Linked DNA regions of Xenopus tropicalis. The main gene of each other region encodes a partner of the protein of the gene in region 3 in a complex. Links are inferred from orthologs where the notes say so. Each region holds a gene or a part of one and is shown on either strand. Other genes may lie near its edges. The genes, in order: pigc, pigp, pigq and pigy.

Region 1 (6,147 bases), on a different chromosome or scaffold from region 3:
AAGAATAAACGTTTTTTGGCAGTCATTTAAGGCATCACCATTACCTCACAGTTAAACATTTTCCCACATTAATGTACTTTGTTTTCAGTTCACTCTGTTTATCTTAGTATCTGAGATTAAACTTAGGCAAGCATTTGTCATCCTTCTTATCATCAGGCTGACAAGCTAACTACGTGGCTTTGGTTAAGTAACTGAACATATTCTCAGATCTACCAATGCACCGATCAAAGTCTAGTGGTACAAATAACTGCTCCAACTCAGTCAGATGGATACTTTAGTCATGAACTTGATTCAATATTCATCTATGGATAAACTACCTGATAGCTACATAGATCCTGTTTACTACATTGGCCAAATGTACATTATTTTCACTCCAAATAAACAAAGGCTGACATGCTCCCATCTTAAGCTAGCCATACATTGCATTTTCGTATGGTTTTCAAACCGTGTGTGGGCTACGAATTAGTGTCCTGATAATTTTCATACCATAGCAATCAGTAATTTAGTCGATCGGACAGGTTAGAAAATTTAAGTTGGATGAAGATAAAATCTGTGCATCTGTGTCCTTGGGGGACCTAAAATGCATTCCCAGAAAGTTACTTTCATACGATTAGCCAACTTTCCCACATACAAAACATTGTCCAATGGCTTTATCCTACAATTTTAGTCTGAATTTTAGTTTTAGATCGTTGCATTTAAACATACAATGCATATCCGAATGTTCACTGGAAGAAGACTAAAATTTGATCATGTATGGCCATCTTAAAACTGGAGTGTACTTATAGAAGCCTTCACACTGCAGTGATGCCACATTTTGCTGCAACTGCAATTGTGCTTCAGACAATAATAAAGGCAACAAAGTGTGGGCCAATAGGAAGTGCTTTTGACTACAGCATTTGTAAGCTGTGGGGCTCAAGAGGTTTAGGGTGCCCTAAAATAATTCTGCTGCAAGCAAACAGATTATAAGCCTCTGTTCTATTTCTTGTACAAAAGCTAGTTTCATGAATTAACATGTAGAAGAACTTGGTATAATAAGATGTAACATTTTTATGTGAAGTGGAATATGCGCTATGTGCAATTCCGGCTCACTGAATAACAATGGGCAAATCTGCACAAGTGTGGTCACCCAAAGCAACAGTCAGCAATTTAAATTACCCAATTTGAAATCCCATTATCTCACAATGACAAAAGTCAAACTAACTCCTAATATTAGAGAAAATCAACACAGAAAATGTGGAATTTCTTTCTTCTGATCACACAAAAGATATGGTAAAAATAAAAGAAGCAATGTCCTACGCTACCTTTATAATACCATGAGCAAAATGCATATGCTTTAACAGCTTCATGGAATATGTTTCTCTTCTGAATTGTGTTTACTCTGGTGTGAGACAGGCAGGGGGTAGTGGCAGAGATTTACTGACCTGGAAATATTCTATTTGCAGATCAAAATGACCTGTGTTTTTAATCCTCCACCTGATAACAGCACTGCCACGTTGCACTGAGCTTTTTTCAAAGGTAGTTATGTTCTATGTACTTAATAAACAAAGCAGGCTAAACAGTAATCAAGAGACATTTTGCTAAATGTTAGTAGGCACATTTATTTTATAACGAAATGGAAAAGTAGAATACAATTTAATCTTTATGAAAACTTCAGACTCTTTATAATGTAAAAAAAAAAAAAAAAAATCAGTCAGATGAAGCTCAAAAGTAAACAATTTATTGTAAGTGACTTCTTTAGGTTTGCCATGTGGTATAATTAGTCTGGGCACTATTCCGGGCACCTTTGTTAATGGGAATAAATAACTATCTTGCTCTGGACTGCAGCTTATCAAATTTTTGTAGGAAGAAACCAGGTGTTGGTTCACACATTTGACATTGACATATACAGTACAATTCTTCTGCGGAGGAAGCATGCATATACATTGCCGGAACTACACTGCAAATCCATTAAGTAACATGGGTTGTTCTGACCAAACAGAGGGTCTTTTTCAAGTGTAAAAGATTCAAGGGACAAACACAGATTTAAAAAGGAAAATATATGTCTAAAACACATTGGCAAAAAATGAGCACAATAAAAAAAACAAAAAAAAAAAACAACTTATGCTTAAAGGAAAACTATACCCACAAACAATGTAGGTCTCTATAAAAATATATTGCATAAAACAACTCATATGTAAAACCCTGCTTCATCTAAATAAACCATTTTCATAAAAATATACTTTTTTTTAGCAATATGTGCTATTGGGTACTGCTAAATAGAAAATTACCATTTTAAGAAGTAATGGCCGCCTCCTTGGATCATAGTATTAACGGTGCACACAAACAAGCCAAGGCACACATACATGCTAGGCCACATCAGCCAATTATTGGGCAGAGTTCTGCCCATATTATTAACATAATATAAACTATCTGTTGGTTAAGTATTCATTCTGGAGGTATAGTTTTGCTTTAAAATGTATTTTGCCATATACTCCTAATTTTTTTCCATTATAAAGCACTGTTTGAAAAGCCCCTCCTTTATAGACAGGGCAATTTGTTCAGAGATCCTTATTTACCTTCAAACAAATATACAATCCCCTCCCTTCCCTAAGGTGCAGGGTTTGAACAGGAGCTTCTTAGTGGAACAGGAAGTGCTAAAATGAAACTGGTTTCCTTTTCTTATTTTTTTCTTAACGGTTTCTTCATTAAAACAACAGACCTAAGGAATGTATTAACCTGCCTATTACACAGTAACTTGGATAATTCCATCTAATGAAAGGCAACTGCTAAATTTTAGCCTTGCCTCAAACATAGGGGCTGATTTACTAACCCATGAATCCGAAGGGGAAAAATTCAGATTGGAAAACGAACATTTTGCGATTTTTTCGTCGCCGTTACGACTTTTCGTAAATTATCGCGACTTTTTCGTAACCATTACGACTTGCACGAATTGTCGCGACTTTTTCGTAGCCGTTACGATTTGCTCGTATCTTGTCGCGACTTTTTCGTATTGAGCGCTCGTAAACTGCGGGCAAAACTTTCAGACTTAGCATGATTTTGGAAGCCTCCCATAGGACTCAATGGCACTCTGCAGCTCCAACCCGGCCCAAGGGAAGTCTCCCATAGGGCTCAATGGCACTCTGCAGCTCCAACCTGGCCCAAGGAAAGTCTCCCATAGGGCTCAATGGCACTCTGCAGCTCCAACCTGGCCCAAGGAAAGTCTCCCATAGGGCTCAATGGCACTCTGCAGCTCCAACCCGGCTCCAAGACCCTTGATAATGATAATGGTCTTAGGAGGAGACCGAAACGTTGGCCTGTTTTAACAGCATGTTTAAATAAAAGTAACGTTTTAATCTTTAAAAAATATCCTGGTGTGCACCCAATTTTTGGATAATTAGACACATGGAGGTAGCACCCAGGTGATTTATATTAGGGGTTTGGTGTGCTGAAAATTTTGTGGACTGTAATATATATATATATATATATATATATATATATATAGATGAGAGAGAGAGAGAAGGAGCAAGACTACCAACTGGCAACTTAAGAGACAGTATATAAAGGAGGCAGCAGTTACATATTCAAGAGCTCACTTACAAAGTGCAGGGCTGTTGCAAACTACAATTTTGTACTTTTTTCCGCACACTACAGTAGCAAGCCTTTGACTTATGGAACCTACTTTCTGCCGTTCTGTGCGGACACCTACGCAGAGAAGCACTAGCCATATTCCCCCCACCCCATATGTCAAGGCTAATATTGTCGCAACAAACAAAATGAAATGTATAGCAAACCGCAGTGACAGTAGGCAGGTTACAATGTAGGGAAAAACAATGGAGAGACCCTGTGGGTAGCTACCAACTCAAAAGAAAGCTGCCAGTAAGTGGGTACCTGATTTCCTAAAGCCAGGCTTCCGCGTTTCTCCAGCCCCTTGCAACCTTTGGCTGAGCAGCCAATCAAGAGCGGTCGTATCTTGAAATGCTATTGGCTGTCAGAACCCTTTCACTAGAAACAGGAAAGGCCACAATAGTTGCCAGGGGCGCCTTGATTCCAATTCGCTTAACACGAGTCTCCGCCCCCAGTCCATTACAGAGGCCTTGTTGTTCAAAAGAGCTGAGGCATCCTTTCTGGACCAAACCAATGCATTTGAAGGGGGAGGGTTGTAAAGGCTACGTCTGATTCGCTAACCTCGGCCGGAGTGACGCGTCTCCTTCCGCCTAAGCTGGCTGTGCAGTTGGAGGCATTCGCAGGGGATCGGCCGCGTTGGAGGATTGTAGCGTGGTGTGGGCAGTGCTTTTACGAAGGGGAAGTAGGGGAAACAGTGGCACGGCTCTCCCCGGCGCCATACACCAACGGGGACATTTTCAATGGTGGCTTGTACGACTAGTGCTCATTAAAGTACACGGGAAATGCCAGCGAGGATGAGAAAATACGTCCGGGAAAGATGACGAAACGGGTGTTTATTATATTCTGCCTCTTTCTGGTTGGCTCATGGTGAGTGCTTAGGGCCCTGCGCCTGTCTGTTGGAGCGTAAATGCCCACATTGCTGTTACTCGCTGACAGGTAGTCTCGCTGTCATGTACCCTGAATGAAGGGGGGGGGGGGTCTCCCATCATTGTGTGAAAAGCAGTGTCCTAGGAGTCCTGGTCTTAGTATAAATGTAACACTATGCCATTACACCAACAATAATTTCACTTTTTCTTCATGTTCATATGGATGAATTAAATGGAATCTTCTCCTAAAATGTATAATGAAATTGTAATTCCCAGCAGCTTTACAGTATACATTGATTTAAAACACTCAGTGATTTTTAAGCTATTTCTAAATGTAATTGCTGGCTGAAAGTTGTAGCTGCCCTGCTGCTTATATTCTCTGCACTGCTGGCTGTGACTCCTGAAACAATGTAGCAGCATGCATGTCAAAGATTGCTTAGAGTTCTACTTTCTTTCATTATGCCAAAACCGTTTTGCCCCTTAAATAATAACTGGCTAGCTAAGAAAACTTTTCCTTTCGTTAGTACACAGAGAATACCTCTTGGCTTTTATTTTGGCAGAGCTTGAAAGCATAGTCCAGCAACATGTTTAGCTGAGAGATACCATCAGAAATAGTTTCTGTAGGACTTTCCCTAAATGACAGCTGTGTGTTATAATTGGAAGATCTGCAAATTGTGGGTCACAAGCTGCTTGTTATTGCCCCATGTTCATTTGTTGTAATGTATCTTCCTATGGGCTGTGATAAAAAAATTATTTTGAATATCTTTACATTTGCTCATTATATTTCTGACTGCCTATGATTATGAAAGACTTCTGTTTATAGTTATGCTGGGGGAACCAGAATTGGGTCTCATTGGTTTTCCCAGACCTGGAATATCCTGTATCTTTTATATTAAAGTCTTATTTGCATTTAATATAATTATTTTGATTTAGATTTTTATTCACTAGGGAATGCCTACACTGTCATAGATAGAAGTTGGAACTGCTGCTGAGTCAGATTGACAGCATTCTGTTGTATTTAGTTTCAGGGAATGTGATTATGAATGCAGCAGTTGGTATCATTTTAAGGGATGCCGGGGTTGGCAAATTCATATATTGACTAATGGGAAAAAAACTTTCTAATATACATTAATTGAAACTTTTCAGTGTTTTTAGGTTTATTTGCAAATGTAATTGCAATTCAAAGCAGGATGTGCATGGCTCCATATATCCACTACTTCGAACTGTGACTCCTGAAACTATGTATCAAAGGCAGCTGTTTAAAAGACCTGGATTAGAAGTGATTTCTGTTACATTGTTTCAAAAGTCAAAATCAGAAGAAAGTGCAAAGAACAGAAAATGATAATCAAATACTTTTTTTCAGTTACATTTACCAATAGTCAATAGTGAATAATTGAAAAATGTTTAGAATTACTTTTTTTTTTTTACAAAAACAGGTTTTTGTTGGTTGTCTCTTTTGACCCCATAGTATTTGGGACAGCTGCTGTCAGGGATTATCAACAACTGTTTTGCCATAGTAATGTAAGGGCTGAGCATAATAAAGTTAAATAAAGAGTTAAGCTTGACAATGTATGGTATTTGACCAGCTAACCTGTGGGGGCAAACGGATGTATACCATATGAGGGGCCATCTTTCTATTGTTCTGCTTGTTTGGGTCAGAAGGAGGACCTTCTTTTCC
Region 2 (4,732 bases), on a different chromosome or scaffold from region 3:
ACAGGATACATATTGTGTGCAGCCACAAAGTCCTACCTACAGTATAGTAATTGCAGACTGATAGTAATGCCTTTGTTGTCTGGCATTTCAGTTTCTTTTACAAATTGTGTTTATAGATATTGGGCTGTGGCAGTGCCCGTCTACCTCCTCGTTGTGTTCGGCATCGCCTATATCTTTCTGTTTGGTATAAACATGATGAGCACTGCTCCCCTAGACTCCATACACACTGTAACAGGTAAGTGGGACTCTGGCTACAGTATATAGAATCTAGTGTATATGTGTGTGTGTGTGTATATATATATATATATATATATATATATATATATACAGTGGTGTGAAAAACTATTTGCCCCCTTCCTGATTTCTTATTCTTTTGCATGTTTGTCACACAAAATGTTTCTGATCATCAAACACATTTAACTATTAGTCAAAGATAACACAAGTAAACACAAAATGCAGTTTTTAAATGAGGGTTTTTATTATTTAGGGAGAAAAAAAATCCAAACCTACATGGCCCTGTGTGAAAAAGTAATTGCCCCCTGAACCTAATAACTGGTTGGGCCACCCTTAGCAGCAATAACTGCAATCAAGCGTTTGCGATAACTTGCAACAAGTATTTTACAGCGCTCTGGAGGAATTTTGGCCCACTCATCTTTGCAGAATTGTTGTAATTCAGCTTTATTTGAGGGTTTTCTAGCATGAACCGCCTTTTTAAGGTCATGCCACAACATCTCAATAGGATTCAGGTCAGGACTTTGACTAGGCCACTCCAAAGTCTTCATTTTGTTTTTCTTCAGCCATTCAGAGGTGGATTTGCTGGTGTGTTTTGGGTCATTGTCCTGCTGCAGCACCCAAGATCGCTTCAGCTTGAGTTGACGAACAGATGGCCAGACATTCTCCTTCAGGATTTTTTGGTAGACAGTAGAATTCATGGTTCCATCTATCACAGCACGCCTTCCAGGTCCTGAAGCAGCAAAACAACCCCAGACCATCACACTACCACCACCATATTTTACTGTTGGTATGATGTTCTTTTTCTGAAATGCTGTGTTACTTTTACGCCAGATGTAACGGGACACGCACCTTCCAAAAAGTTCAACTTTTGTCTCGTCGGTCCACAAGGTATTTTCCCAAAAGTCTTGGCAATCATTGAGATGTTTTTTAGCAAATTGAGACGAGCCATAATGTTCTTTTTGCTTAAAAGTGGTTTGCGCCTTGGAAATCTGCCATGCAGGCCGTTTTTGCCCAGTCTCTTTCTTATGGTGGAGTCGTGAACACTGACCTTAATTGAGGCAAGTGAGGCCTGCAGTTCTTTAGATGTTGTCCTGGGGTCTTTTGTGGCCTCTCGGATGAGTTGTCTCTGCGCTCTTGGGGTAATTTTGGTCGGCCGGCCACTCCTGGGAAGGTTCACCACTGTTCCATGTTTTTGCCATTTGTGGATAATGGCTCTCACTGTGGTTCGCTGGAGTCCCAAAGCTTTAGAAATGGTTTTATAACCTTTACCAGACTGACAGATCTCAATTACTTTTGTTCTCATTTGTTCCTGAATTTCTTTGGATCTTGGCATGATGTCTAGCTTTTGAGGTGCTTTTGGTCTACTTCTCTGTGTCAGGTAGCTCCTATTTAAGTGATTTCTTGATTGAAACAGGTGTGGCAGTAATCAGGCCTGGGGGTGACTACAGAAATTGATATTGAAATTGAAAATTGAAATTGATAAACCACAGTTAAGTTATTTTTTAACAAGGGGGGCAATCACTTTTTCACACAGGGCCATGTAGATTTGGAGTTTTTTTTCTCCCTTAATAACGTGAACCTTCATTTAAAAACTGCATTTTGTGTTCAATTATGTTATCTTTGACTAATAGTTAACGGTTTTTGATGAGCAGAAACATTTTGTGTGACAAACATGCAAAAGAATAAGAAATCAGGAAGGGGGCAAATAGTTTTTCACACCACTGTATATATATATATATATATATATTCTGTAAATAACCTCCCTTGGTGCTACATTGTCAGCCCAAGGATTGCAATGCATGCTGGGTATACAGACTGAAAGCAGCCACTAGATTGGCCAATATCCTAGTGCAGTTTATTGCAGTTATGGGCAACCTCAAGAACTCCCAGTGCCGCTCAGAGCTAATAGATGATCAGCGGTACCTGTTCTTTCAGTGCCACTGAGTGTTGTAATTTGTAAATTTTTACCACAATTTCCAGACTCTTATGCCAAAAATCAGCAAGAGAAGGCGTGCCAAGAGGATGCCATCCCAGCACTGAGGGACATTTCCATCAGCGAGGTTAATAAAATGTTCTTCCTCACTGAGAGATGATGCCGGAAGATCCTTCGGACCCACAAAACCCCATTCTTTATGATAATTCATGTAGCTATATATTTCTGGACTGTGTTTTATTTATTTATTTTTTTACTTGGGCCCCATAAACCAATGGGTGCAAGTGTTTTATTTAGAGGTGCAAATGCGCAGACTTGGAGATGTGGGAACAGCAGATTCTGCAGAGGTCTATGCTCCCAGTCACATTTATACTGTGCTGCCACTTCACTTGCTATATAAAAAAAAAAGCAGTTTACCTTGAAATTCACTTTTATTGGAATTCTAAGACAGTTTGCAATTAGTGATTATTTAATATTTGTCATTTTGAAAACCCATACAAACCATTTTTTGCTCTGCAACACTGAGGCTTGGAATTTCAGCTGCTATCTGGTTGCTAGTGCTCAATGATCTTAGCAACCAATTAGCAGTTTAAAAATCAGTATGATGGAAGATCAATAGGAGAGAGCTAGAAAAGAAAGATAAACATCTAAAAATAAGAGCAGTAAAATTAGGGTTGTTGCCTTTTCTGGAAAAACAAATGCTGGCTTTCCTAGATTTTTTATGTTTTTTTCCTATTAAAACTTTGAGCATTTTTTTTACTGGCCAGGTGGCCACCCCAAATACAATTGAACCCTCCAAATTGATTTCTTTTTCTGGTTGGTGGGGTCAGAGATGGCAAACTAGATAGGTTTCTCTGTGACAAGCTATACCAAATAACTAATAGAGACTAGTTACAAATTTGCTCAGAATGGATCCATACTGAATGCTAATATAAAGGTGGACTTTCCCTTTAAGTTTTTCCTGTATGATCAGAGAAGCTGCCGTGCCTTTTATCCCTTTCGTTATAGTATTGTCATTTGCACTGTATATACAAACATGAGGCCTGCTATTTGTATTTCAACACACTTGGTTTTATTCAAAATCCATTAAAGCAACACTGTGCTACATAGCAAACGAGAATGTTTATGATTTATATGTACATGATATTCTAAAGGGGTTTAATAACTGGGTGGGACTGGCCTGGCCAGGTACGATTCTGCACCCTGAAGCAGCCTTTCCAATGCCACCAACCATGCTTACCTTTCAGAGATTAAAAAATGGAATTTCAGGGTCCTAAAGATTCTCACCCTCAGAGGTAGGCCAAATGGTGCGGGCACCCTAGGGGGCCCCAATCCCCTCAGTGCACGCATATGTGCTTTGATAAGTGGGTGGGACATGCAGTGACAAGTGCAGGTGGGGCAAGAGAGCTCAGACTAGGTGTAGGCAGAAGAGGTACCTACCTAGTGCCCCTTACTGTTGCACCCTAGGCACGTGCCTTTTCTGCCTCCCCCTAGTTCTGGCAGTGTCCATGGGCCTGCCAGAATACCAGAAGAACCCCCAGCCGGCCCCCCACATCGGCTCATTGATGCGTTCCCTTATCCGATGGAATCTGGCCCTAGGGCCGTAAGATCAAATTAGCCTAATATCTCCCACATATCGGGAGAAGATCCGCTCGCTTGGCGACCTCACCAAACAAGCGAATCGTCCCGTGTATGGCCACCATACCTCTATGGCTCTGCGCATCAGAATCAGTGAGCAGAGAGGTGGGGTTGGCTAGCAGATGACGGCTGGGGGCTTGCCCATTGCATTTGGCCCAGCTCTGCATATAGCCATGCTGATAATTATTTCTTCAAAGATAGTTGCATACAAATGTGTCCCCAGTTACCTCTGTCATGTCCCTTAATGAGCCTGCAGGCCTTCCTGCCCCCAACTGCCACACTGTAGAATTGGCAGGGGCTGCACATCTTTATAAACCTTAATCTGACAATATAATAAGCTTGGCTATATAGTAATGCAATTAGGAGACTCCTTGCAAAGGAAAATGCAGGACTTGTGATGATATAAATACACTTTCCTCCATCAAGCCCTCTGAGTGGCCCATTGAATAAACTGTAAGTGTCTGCCTTGCTGCACTGGGGCAATGGAGTGCCCTACACATATAATGATATATATTTTACCTGTTTAATATGTGACCATTACCTTCCTAGTTTGCAAGGGTGAAACCTCTGGGAAAAACACACAAAGACCCTTGGCTGCTCTTTAGATGAAAGATCTGTAAGTCACAGTCAGATCCTATCAGTGATGAATCAGCCATTAGGGTTTCCCCTTTTTAGACAGACTGGACCAATAAAAACTCCCTATGAGAACGGCCACTTTGATTTTGAAGTCTCTGAAGGAGAGATCATTCTTCTGCTGCATTCTAAACAGTCTGTGTGGGTGATTTGTTTTTTTAAAGGGGAAGTTCACACACGCACACAAACATATATATATATTTTTTTAATATATTATACATAGACCCGAGTTTGGAGGTGAAAGGGATTGGTTTTCGGTTACCGCAAAAGGAACCCAAATCGCCGGGGAGTTGG
Region 3 (5,566 bases):
TGGCTGACTATTTTGAGACTTTGCCGACTGTCCTCAGCCTGCCTTCAGCCTGCATCCTCCATATCCCACGATTCCCTGCACACATGATGTGAATAAGGAAAAGTACATCACAGTACAATGCATTGTGGGTTATGTAGTTCCTTTATGCTCTCTATCAGCTGCAGAATTGTTACAATTTGTAACATCAGTATTTTAGTCCCTCCTCCCCTGCCAGGATTTCAAATGATGCAGAAAGAGAAGAACTGTTTTGCAGCTGGATTTCAGCATATAGGTGTTCTCTATTTATTAGGGATTATTTTGCCCACCATACACTTAACAGCATGTATGTGCAAGCTCACCTACTTGGTAATGCATTTACTTCTAGGCCAGAATATGTTTACCGCCAACAGCAGTCACATTGCTTTTAAGGCAGCTAGAAAGCACCCGTGACTCCTGCCTAGTGCTCTCTTTAAGCCACTTGGCTAGTCTGCTTGCTTCCTCAAGATGTCTCTCCAAAGTGCATAAATGTACCATTTGCTTGTTATTTTTCAGGAAGTCCAACACTGTCGTTTCCATTCTATTAGACATGGCCCTGGGGATTTTACTGATGTCCTGGCTGTACAGAGAGAACCGAATCAGTCAGCTGGCCGACACACTCATGCCCGTTGCTGATGTAAGTCATACACAGGGAACCTGAATTTCAACCCACAAAACCCTTGGTTCATGTTTTTGTAAGCAGCTAAGAAACATAACCTCCCATTTTGAAGGGGAAGTTTGCCTTTAAATGAACTTTTACCATGTTGTAGGCGGACTAAATTTAATTTTAAGTGTAAATCACAGTAATTCATACAAATTACTGTGAGAAGGGATGAGGGGCATTTGCACAGGCAGCAGTGACCAAATGCCCCATAAGACATATGGTTAAAACGCATCCCTCTTTAAAATAATAAAAAGTACTAATCAGGTTTTTTATTGTTAGCATGCATCCCAATTTCCTTCTGTCTCTCTTTTCCCATTAGCGTGTTGCTTTGGAGCTGCAGGGGCTGCTGCAGTGGCTTATGGGTGCTCCGGCTGGATTAAAAATGAACCGAGCTCTGGATGAAGTCTTGGGACGCTTCTTTTTGTACCATATCCACCTCTGGATCAGTAAGCTATACCCATTTCCTTCTCTCATTTTTAATTCTTTCCTTTATCCCTTTTGTTTGGTTTATAAAAACTTAAAAGCAAATCTGATAGTAATGCAAAGGCATGTGTTTGGACTTGAGCCCATTTACTTTATTAATACTACATATTTTCCTAATTGTATTCCTGCGCAGGTTACATTCGCCTGATGTCCCCATTTATCGAAGTCATCCTGTGGTACATTGGCTTGTCAGCCTGTCTGGGCTTGTCAGTTGCTCTGTCCATCCTCTCGGATATCATTGCCCTCCTTACATTTCATATATATTGTTTCTATGTTTATGGAGCTCGGTGAGTGATCAAATATTGCCTTTTAAGGCAATATTTTGTATTGAATTTGCCTTAACTAATATTCATAAAATACTACTTATCTAGGGTCTAGACCAGGGATCCCCAACCTTTTTTACTTATGAGCCACACGCAGATGTATAAAGTGTTGGGGAGCCACACAAGCATTAAAAAAAGTTCTGTGGGGATGCCAAATAAGGGCTGTCATTGGCTATTTGGTAGCCCTATGGGGACTGCTGGCCTGCAGGAGGCTCTGCTTGGAGTAAAACTATGTCTCTGTGCTTCCAAAACTTGCCTCCAAGCCAGAAATTTAAAAATGGGCACCTACTTTGGGGCCTCTGGGAGCAAAATGTTGCTTATGAGCCACTGGTTGGGGATCACTGGTCTAGAAGAACTTAACTGCCATTGTAAATATTGTAGCTAAAGGAGAATGAAAGAAATGAATACAACTTAGGGTCCCTGCAGAGGCATCATTCCCAAAGCCCACTACCCACCGTCCCCCATACCATTTTTGTCTTCCTGTCACAGGCTCTTTGGCAATGTTCACTGATTGCCTGGTCCTGACTTCAACTACAAACACATGGCAAACTCTAACCCTTCTGCTCCAATCTGCCCTTAACAATCAAGTACAGAGGAGCAGAGTTGCAATTTTGGACTGTAGATGGTGTAGCTTGGGAAGGTGGGCCTTTGCAAGAGCAACTGAGTTTTAGCTAGACTTGTCTGTACAGCATTGCGATCCCTTGTAATGCCAACCCTCTCTGGGATATGTAAAGAGGTAGTTCACCTTTAAGTTAACTTAATATGTTATAGAATGACTGATTCTATACAACTATTGTCTTTATTTTTTACTTCTTTCCAGCTTTTAAATAGAGGTCACTGACCCAGTAGCCAAAAAACTATTGGTCTGTGAGACTCCAATTTTGTTGTTATTGCTACTTTTTATTACTTCTGTTTAGCCACTCTCCTATTTATATTCCAGTTTCAGGTTGCTAGGGTAGTTTGAACACTAGCAACCAGGTAGCTGCTAAAATTCCAAACTGCTCAACCAAAAGCTAAATAATTAAAAAAAAAAGAAAAACACACACACAAAATAAAAAGTAAAGACCAATTGCAACTTGGCTCAGAATATCAAGCTATACATCATACTAAAAGTTAATTCAAAAGGTGAACCATCCCTTTAAGACAACATTATGTTTAAGTGACAGGTGTCTACGGTTATGTATACCTATTGGTTGCTTTAGGAGCTTTAGAAAAAGCAGTATCCCATAATATTTAGGGACACAATGCAGATAAAACCTTTTTGCCTGAGAATTTTGCAGCCAGGTTTGGACACCCGGTAAACTACACGAGCTGGAAGTATCTGTAACTGGCATCTAAACTACTTTTAATACCTACTGAATTGTGTATTGTAAGATTTGGAACCCTTTGTAATAGTTTCTCCATAGGTTCCGTTCCATAACCAGTTTGCATGAAGTATCGCAATGGATAGATTTGCACGCAGGCAGTGACCCATAGCAACCAATCAGTGGCTGGATTGCTGGCTGAACAGTAAAAGCAAATATTTGCTTGTCATGGGTTTCTGCCCAGCTGCAAATTCGTGCAGTGTTTATAAAAGAGCCTCACCATGTTTTTCCTTATGGTTATTATGATTACTATGATTATTGCAGTAGAAATGCTACATAGAACATCTACTTTACTTATGTATCATTATAGTGTGCTATCCCCTGTCTCTTAAATTCTGGGAGTACAAGTGATAAACTGTCCCTTCTTTTACACTAGCCTGTATTGCTTCAAGATGCACGGACTCTCTTCTCTCTGGCGTCTCTTCCGGGGCAAGAAGTGGAATGTTCTTCGCCAGCGAGTGGACTCTTGCTCTTATGATTTGGATCAGGTACCTCGGCCTGGTTGCAGCTGCCTAGGGAAAGCATACATAGTGCAGCACAGGATTATACCTCAGGCTTATCTCTGCTCTTTTCTATTGCAGCTTTTTCTTGGGACCTTGCTCTTTACAATCCTGCTGTTTCTCCTGCCAACCACAGCCCTGTATTACCTGGTATTTACTCTGGTACGTGTTTATCTAAAACCTAAACATATTGAACCTAAAAATAACATTTCACATTGATGCAATAGCTAAATAAATAATAGACATCTAATTTGTGGTTTTAGGACTGATTACATGGACATAGACTCATAGATACACTTGCCAGTGGTGTGTGCCCAGAGCCAAATGGCAAATATTAACTTGAGTAACCATCAAAGAAATTTGATGTTTGCTAAATTTGCCCCTTTGTTTTTTTGGAAGCCCAGGCATCAAACTTTATGTGATATAATATTCGCTGAAGAACAGAGCCAATTACATTGAATCTTAAAGAAATACTGTCATGGGAAAACATGTTTTTTTCAAAACGCATCAGTTAATAGAGCTTCTCTAGCAAAATCCTGCATTGTAATCTGTTTTTCAAAAACACAAACTTTTTTATATTTAATTTTGAAATGTCACATGGGGCTAGCCATATTCTTCATTTCCCAGGGTGCCACTGCCTTGTGACCTGTGCTCTGCTTCAGCCACACTTTACTGCTGAACTGCAGGTTGGAGTGATATCCCCCCCAGTAGGCGATCAGCAGAACAATGGGAAGGGAGCAAGATAGCAGCTCCCAGTAGGTATCAGAATAGCACTCAATAGTAAGAAATCCAAGTCCAGCTTGGGACTCCTCCAGTTACATGGGAGTAGGAGAAACAATAGGTTAGCTGAAAGCAGTTCTAAGGGCTCTGGCACACGGGGAGATTAGTCGCCCGCGACAAATCTTCCTTGTCACGGGCGACTAATCTGCCCGAACTACCATCCCACCAGCGAAAATGCAAGTCGCAGGTGGGATGGAACACACTGCGCAGGCGATTTCAGCAAATCGCCGAAGTTGCCTCGCGAGGCAATTTCGACTTACATCTCCCCGTGTGCCAGAGCCCTAATGTGTAGCGCAGGCTTCTTCTGAAAGCTCAGACTCAGGCACAATGCACTGAGATGGCACCTACACACCAATATTACAGCTAAAATAAATACATTTGTTGGTTCAAGAATAAAATTTTAAATGGTAGAGTGAAAATCATGACAGAATCACTTTTAGGCTAGTGTCACAGAATCACTTTTAGGCTAGTGTCACAGCCTGCAGAAAAATCCAGGCTGAGAATCAGCCCCTATGCTGGCACCAGACTCCATGCCTGCACCCGGAAGCATTGTGTTCACCTGAGTGCAGACAGATGTGGTGAATACCAGCCAAAAACGCAAGAGTTTGCATTTCACAGCCAATATCCACAGTGTCTGCTTGCACTTGGACAATACTTCCGGGTGCAGGCAAGGTAGGAGGCTGAATCAGCCCTGTGTGGCACTAACCCTAAGAATAAATGGAATACAGTGCTGGAACAAAGGGGAAATCATACTATAAATTATTATTGGAATGGAACATCTTGGTATGTCAAGTAATCTGGTAGGACCTCTTTCATCTTTTTATTTTACTTGTCTTGGACAGCTACGTCTGCTTGTGGTCCTGGTTCAGGGTGTCATCCATTTGATTGTAGATCTGCTGAACACTCTCCCACTTTATGCTATGGTCTTGCGCCTCTGCAGGTCGTACAGGTTGGCAGGTGAGCAGCTTTTGTATAATAACTCTTTGATGCAAACCCTGCTGTTTATGCTGCTCAGATTGTAGCATGTAACTGAAAAAAGCCAGGAAATGTGTATGGGGCTTCCCTCGGGCTGGCTGCACATTGCTAAAACTGAAGAGGGAACATAGAGGAATATGAAGAGTGGTGCTTCACTGGAGATGCTGGCTGCCTGTTAAAAGAACTCACCTCTCATTATGAGCTGCTGAGCCAGCAGGCAGTTATTAGCAGCATAAAACTTTAAAACACATGTTCACCAATAGTCTGTTTCCTAATGGTCAGGCCTGATCTGTATTGTAAAGGTATTGTATTGTAAAGGTGGCCATACACTGTAAAATCTGCTCACTTGGTGAGGTTGTCAAGCAAGCAGATCTTCTCCCGATATACCTACCTATGTCGGTCAAGGAGGCCCGTCATTGGTGCCCATACACTGGCAGATAAGCTGCCAAATCAGTCTAAAGG
Region 4 (5,994 bases), on a different chromosome or scaffold from region 3:
TGAGCTCCAGCCTAAATGGAGAGAGCATTCTGCATCTTGTTAAACTGCCAGTGGGTTTCTGTTGTTATCCTTGTATGTTCCCTGTGTGAGGGCAGGTGTTGATCGAGTGCCTGCAATGTGGAGCAACTGCCTATCCAAAGGGAGTGGTACTTTGGGGCAGGTAGCACTACAGGGGAAACTAAAGAACTCTTGGGGAAGGGACTTTGCCAGAGACTGAACTGGGAAAGGGTATTTCCACCAGGAAAGAAGTGTGGGACTGTGTCCTAGGAGAGACTGTGCCAAAAGTTTAGTTAAAATGCATGTTAAATGAAACATGCATTTCCCAAAGCAGGGTCATATTATTTGCCTTTTACAGTGATTACATTTTTCTAAATTGCTATATAAAGTTTATCTTTTCTGCAAACTGTGTGTGATTTATTTTTCTAGTGGAATCCCCCTGAGGTGTGCTCCTCAGTGACCACTAGGTGGAGGCACTGCACTGTAAAACCCAGTTCCCAGAAGTGAGTGTAATCCAATTTCTGCAGAAGTGTGCCAAAAATAGGTTACAGGGGAAAAATGAGAGGATGATAGGTGCACTTTAAAGCTTATTTCCTTTTAAATGGAATTTGGTTCAAGCTACAGACTTAAGCCCTACCTCCCGTTTTGCTGCCCCAAAAGCTTGCTAGCCCTAGCCTCCCATATGTTTGTGCCTGAAACTGTTTCCCTATTTAAGGGGTAGCTTAATTAAATAGAAAAGTCATTCCTGAAAAATCCCTTGCTAGTTACTGGCTTTTACTAATGAGGGACATTTAACAATGAGGTGCTCAAAAGACTTCTGCCCTTTTAGATCAGATTCTGTTCAGGCTACAGACTCTGACCTTATCTCCCAATTTGCTGACAAGTAGCTTGCTGGCCCTATCCTCCCCTTAGTCTGTGCATATAACTGCGTTACTATTCTTTCTTGGGATAGCTTGAGTTGAAGGAAAAATATTAGTGCAGGACCAAAACAGCTCCCTAGTGTTCTGTTAATTCAACCACATCGGATTGTCCTAACCAAATAGGTCCCTAAACTCCACCTAACCCAGAAAACAGTCAAGCCACCCAGGGCGCGCTGGCTTTCTATTAGGGATGCACCGAATGCACTTTTTTTTTAGCATATGCTAATTAGGATACGGAAGGGTTAAATTTCTAACTTCCGTGTTTATGTGACAAAAAGTCACGTGATTTTTAAGATTCGGATTCAGTTCTGCCAGGAGCCGAAAAAAGCATAATCTTGGCCAAATCCTGGATTCGGTGCGTCCCTACTTTCTATCCACTACCTGACATATAATGAATAGAGTTGCCTCCCAGCAGTTATTTTACAGGCCTGACCAATAAAACTGAAATTTGATTCCAACAGTACTAATAGACAAGATAGCTACCAACAAGAGAAGGAATGGTATTTTTTGTAGAAAAGGTGGCAACACTAACAGTAATTCACCAGCTTCTCTATGCACACTCATGACAACCAGCTCCCCTAATGATCAAATACCCCTTGCAGCCGGTTAGCCTGCTGCCATGTTGTTTTAATTACTGCTGGCTTAGAACAAACTGGCCATACACACATCAATAAAATCATACAAAACCTAGTCTCAAACAATTTTTGGACCGTGTGTGGTCTCAGAATAATCGCCCCCAAAGTTTGTCAGAAGAAGAACTGAACTTGTATGGAAAATAAGGAAGATAAGATCCAGCCACAGCAATGTAAAATGTCCCTGTGCACAGGAAATTGCAGCAGACAGAACAATCTTTATCTAGTGTCCATTTTAAGATATCTGTGTGTGTTCAACTCCCTCCCCACCACAGAAGCCCCCCCCCAGCTCCCTACCTGTCACATACCCCATCCGACTAGCTCCATACTCCCCCTGACTTCCTCCCTGTTTTATCCATGCTGTAGCTTTCTACCTTGTCTACTCCCTACTCTGTGATTCTTTGTGCTGCAGCATTCTATACTACCCGCAACCTGTTCAGTGCAGTATCAGACTGGGCTGCTGGGGTACTGGGAAAAAAACCTGTTGGTCCCCGGCGGGCCAGATCCCCTCCCCCAGGGCTCTCCCGCGATCCACCGTCACCCTCCCCCAACATACCGCAGGTAAGTTTCTTTTAGAAGCATGGTCGGAGGGTGTTTGGGGCCTCTGCAGGGGTTGGGGGGGGCTGGGGTTCCTGAGGCAGAAGCCCCAGTGAGCCCTGCACCCCCCAGCCCGACCCTGTTTCTGTGTCCTATAGGGTTCTCAATTTATTGCCCATGAACCTTTTCAATGATCTATATATATGCTGTGCCTTTCCAGCTTTCATTTGTATTTTGCCTGACGAAGGGGCCTGGGTGCTTCAACACAGGGTCAGACTGCGGAGTGAAGGGCCCACTGGGGCTCCCGCCCCAGGGGCCTTGTAGGTGCCCGTGCAGGGCCCCCCACCTGACATCCTCCCCCGAGCGTGTAAATTTAACACGTCAGGGGAGGAGCACTCGGGCAGGGGGAGCATCGGCAAGGGTCGGGTCTGGGCCGCCAGGGCCCACTTTTCCCGGTGTCCCAGCGGCCCAGTCCGACCCTGCTTGGACAGCTTGCAATTTTTCTTACTCAGCCAATAAAAGGTATCAGATTTTCTGCATTGTTTTTAATGGCTAACACAGTACAACATCTTAATTCCATAGGATTCCACAGTGAACAAAGCTTTTTGCTTTTAACAGGAATACTGTTACTGTATTCCTGTTTACCTATAACTTATTTTGAGCACTGTTAGAAATTAAATTGCTACCACCTGTCAGGCAATGTGGGCTGGTACCTGGTTTAACACAAATACAGAAGGAAAAATCGCCTGGCAGTGAATGGGTTACATATCTGTGATCGCAGGAATCAAAGGGCAAACCAGATTCAAGCAATAATATCAAGTAAAGGTAGTTTAACATTACAGAAAGACTTTAATCACAACTCTTTCAGATATATTTTGAGGGTTTTGCAGGCTGTGGGTTTATATAGTTACATGCACATGGTAGGAACCACTGAGACTGCTTTGTGTCGTGTGAGGGGCTGTTTATAGTGCTGCACAGGAAGAAGGGGTGGAATCGTTCCTGGGAAGTAAAGGTTGTGTGTCAGTCAGTTTCTGTGCAGAAAGTGGAACATGCTGGCTGTCAGGGCATGGGGAAGAACATATAATACCTTAGTCCAGCGGAAACTAAACGCTGCCTGTCCCACTGGCGCCCTGCCAGCTGTCACACTGCGGCCCTTGCACTGCTCTTTAGTTGCCAGATCCCCGGAACAGAGCCTGAAGGACAGCAAGACGTTTGATCCTACCCTCTTGCAATTCCTGGTCTGCCCTCTCTCAAGGAAATCGCTGAGGTAAAATACCTGGCACTGGGTTAAAGGGCTCTGATACAGTCAGTATACTGCTGCTGGGTGGGGGGGTCATTAAGATCACCTATGATCCTAAGCATTGCTTCCCCCCAGAGGTGCGGGCTACAATACAAGGATACTGCCCCCTGCAGTGCTGGGCTGCCCCTAGTTTGAGCAAAGTGTCCCATCAGACTTGGGTTTCTCTGACTTAAAGTTATAGCCACGTATTGTTCTATTTATAATTTCTAATTAATTACCCTTTAGAAAGACTATATTGATATTAACCATTAGCCAAATGTTAGGGCTTATATTGAAAATATCGCTGCTTATTTTTATTGAAAGGGGAACTACAGTTTATGAACCAAAATTTGTTAAAGAGCCCAACACAGAAACCCCTAATATACCTAGCACTGTAAACTGTTTCTTTCTGCTAAACCTTCTAACCTTCTTTCTGCATTATTTAAAATCCTGGGAAGAGGATTAAAGAAGAGGGACTAAAACACTGATGTTACAAATTGTAACAACTTCTCCACATCTTACAGACAGCACTCAGAAACTACATTACCCACAATGCATTGCCCAGTGATGTTATTTTCCCTATTCCTTATTATATGTGCGGGGAATTGTGGTAACTGGAGAAGGCAGGCTGAGGACAGTCTACTGCATTTTATTTGAGTCTCAAAGTAGTCAGTCAGGTCAGCAGGGGAACAGGGTGTCCCATACACCTAAGCCTGTACTCTGTATAGGGAAATATTCAGTTTATTAACAGCAAGCAGATGTCTCTTTGCTATTTCAAGCTTAACTAGAACTCCTAAATGCATTTTATATATATTATATATATATATATATATATATATATATATATATATATATATATATTGAAAAAAAGACCAGCAACACCGGATCTATTGCAAACAATCAATTATATATTGAAAAATACATGAACAGCCAACGTTACGTTTCGGTCTTGAGAAAGGTCCCGACGGGGACCGAAACGTAACGTTGGCTGTTCATGTATTTTTCAATATATAATCGATTGTTTGCAATAGATCCGGTGTTGCTGGTCTTTTTTTCAATATTTAAACTCTTTTACCGTGCACCCGGGACAAGGATTGAAGCGGTGTGCCACCCTTGGCTCGATATATATATATATATATATATATAATATTGATTATGGAATGACGCTTGTGGTTTGAAATGTACTGATTTTGGTGATCAAATTTCCCGACATTAAATATAAACGGCTGTGATTCCCCATTCATTGATCCAGATCTGATTGTTTATATGTCATTTTTTTTCCCTAGATATGAAGAATCTACCAATGAGTTAATTAATGACGAGCTGGGTATAGCTTACCCAATTGTTGATGGCATCCCAAATATGATACCACAGGATGCCCGCATGATTCATAAAGATCAGAAGCCTGAGAGCCCAGACACAGAGCAGACAACATAGTTTTTTGGATTTGTTCCTGCAAACAATAAAGAAGCCATGTTTTTCTCCCTCCCTGTGCTGACTGTGCTCATTCCTCTGGTGTCTTTGACAGGGTTATTATACTCTGCCTCAGTGGAAGAGGATTTCCCAAATGGATGCACCAGTACAGCAAGCTTGTGTTTTTACAGCCTTCTGCTTCCCATCACTTTGCCTGTCTATGTGTTTTTTCATTTGTGGACTTGGATGGGACTCAAGCTCTTTAGGCACAATTAATGCATAAATGAACAGAAAATATCTCATTCATCCTTCTGCTTTCAGATAAGATATGGAGAACATGTTTTCAGATTGGTCGGTTACAGCTTTGCATAGAAATATTAACATTTAATAGAAATAAAATGAATGTAATTGTTTTGATTTTTGTACTTTCCTTTCTATTTGAGCTCCTTTAAAGACTCTATTCCTAAAGGTACACTTACCTGGGTGCTGCCCCATTTGTAAGTTAATAGGAGCTGCTCTCTGGCAGCTTATGTGCTTAACAATAAAATTGAAAGCAAAAAATGCATCCTAGTTACTGATGCAATAATTGTCGGAGTGTGGGGTGCAGGGCTCACCGGGGCTGCCGCACGTGTAAATTAAAATTACTTTTAGCACGTTGGGGAAGGGAGATCTGGGGCCCAGTCCTACCCTGCTTGCTTTCTTTAAAGTCATTTAAAATCGTCATTCCAAGTCCCTTTTCTATATTATTATTGACAGTAATGAAGTGCTGGCTGCTGGGGTCAGTGACTTCCATTTGAAAGCTGAAAAGAGACTGAGGAGAAAAGCAAATAATTCAGAAACTATAAAGAAATGAATGCCAGTTCTATAACATACTAAAAGTTAACCTAAAGGTGAACCACCCCTTTTATGCCTTAGTTTATACATTCAGTATATACATCCATGCAGGCCCTTCTGGGAGAACATGAGGTTTCATCAAGTAGTGGTTATCTACTTTACATGTGGAAGGGAAATCATTGTAGGTGACTATTGACAATGTCATGAAACCAAAAGATAAAAGGGGATATTTATAATGGCTGCAAAGTGGAAAAAGACACAGTTGGCTGTTTTTTACACTTTGCCAGAATGGGGCATTGTGCAAATAGCCACAGGCCTCTAAACTCTGGCAGAGAGAACCTTGAATCGACTGCTGCCTGTGCTAGAGAGAGCTTAGTTCAAA

Evidence for each region.
Region 1: pigq (region 3) and pigc share a complex: the UniProt entries of both Homo sapiens proteins name them as parts of the glycosylphosphatidylinositol-N-acetylglucosaminyltransferase (GPI-GnT) complex. The link is inferred for Xenopus tropicalis from reciprocal best matches to the Homo sapiens genes PIGQ and PIGC.
Region 2: pigq (region 3) and pigp share a complex: the UniProt entries of both Homo sapiens proteins name them as parts of the glycosylphosphatidylinositol-N-acetylglucosaminyltransferase (GPI-GnT) complex. The link is inferred for Xenopus tropicalis from reciprocal best matches to the Homo sapiens genes PIGQ and PIGP.
Region 4: pigq (region 3) and pigy share a complex: the UniProt entries of both Homo sapiens proteins name them as parts of the glycosylphosphatidylinositol-N-acetylglucosaminyltransferase (GPI-GnT) complex. The link is inferred for Xenopus tropicalis from reciprocal best matches to the Homo sapiens genes PIGQ and PIGY.

What each region holds. Positions count from the first base shown.
Region 1 is NC_030680.2:107,289,623-107,295,769, reverse strand, and holds the start of pigc (phosphatidylinositol N-acetylglucosaminyltransferase subunit C), read right to left. Parts: upstream 3,894-6,147; 5' UTR 3,868-3,893; intron 1-3,867. Other genes in the region: suco (SUN domain-containing ossification factor), read left to right, coding at 4,421-4,470. UniProt on the Homo sapiens protein: Part of the glycosylphosphatidylinositol-N-acetylglucosaminyltransferase (GPI-GnT) complex that catalyzes the transfer of N-acetylglucosamine from UDP-N-acetylglucosamine to phosphatidylinositol and participates in the first step of GPI biosynthesis.
Region 2 is NC_030678.2:12,649,705-12,654,436, forward strand, and holds the end of pigp (phosphatidylinositol N-acetylglucosaminyltransferase subunit P), read left to right. Parts: intron 1-116; coding exon 117-235; intron 236-2,214; coding exon 2,215-2,327; 3' UTR 2,328-3,276; downstream 3,277-4,732. UniProt on the Homo sapiens protein: Part of the glycosylphosphatidylinositol-N-acetylglucosaminyltransferase (GPI-GnT) complex that catalyzes the transfer of N-acetylglucosamine from UDP-N-acetylglucosamine to phosphatidylinositol and participates in the first step of GPI biosynthesis.
Region 3 is NC_030685.2:21,238,475-21,244,040, forward strand, and holds part of pigq (phosphatidylinositol N-acetylglucosaminyltransferase subunit Q), read left to right. Parts: intron 1-531; coding exon 532-652; intron 653-998; coding exon 999-1,125; intron 1,126-1,295; coding exon 1,296-1,449; intron 1,450-3,225; coding exon 3,226-3,337; intron 3,338-3,430; coding exon 3,431-3,511; intron 3,512-4,971; coding exon 4,972-5,086; intron 5,087-5,566. UniProt on the Homo sapiens protein: Part of the glycosylphosphatidylinositol-N-acetylglucosaminyltransferase (GPI-GnT) complex that catalyzes the transfer of N-acetylglucosamine from UDP-N-acetylglucosamine to phosphatidylinositol and participates in the first step of GPI biosynthesis.
Region 4 is NC_030677.2:67,793,035-67,799,028, reverse strand, and holds pigy (phosphatidylinositol N-acetylglucosaminyltransferase subunit Y precursor), read left to right. Parts: upstream 1-1,912; 5' UTR 1,913-2,110; intron 2,111-3,092; exon of another isoform or gene 3,093-3,135; coding exon of another isoform or gene 3,136-3,353; intron 3,354-4,651; coding exon of another isoform or gene 4,652-4,802; 5' UTR 4,803-4,838; coding exon 4,839-5,054; 3' UTR 5,055-5,343; downstream 5,344-5,994. UniProt on the Homo sapiens protein: Part of the glycosylphosphatidylinositol-N-acetylglucosaminyltransferase (GPI-GnT) complex that catalyzes the transfer of N-acetylglucosamine from UDP-N-acetylglucosamine to phosphatidylinositol and participates in the first step of GPI biosynthesis.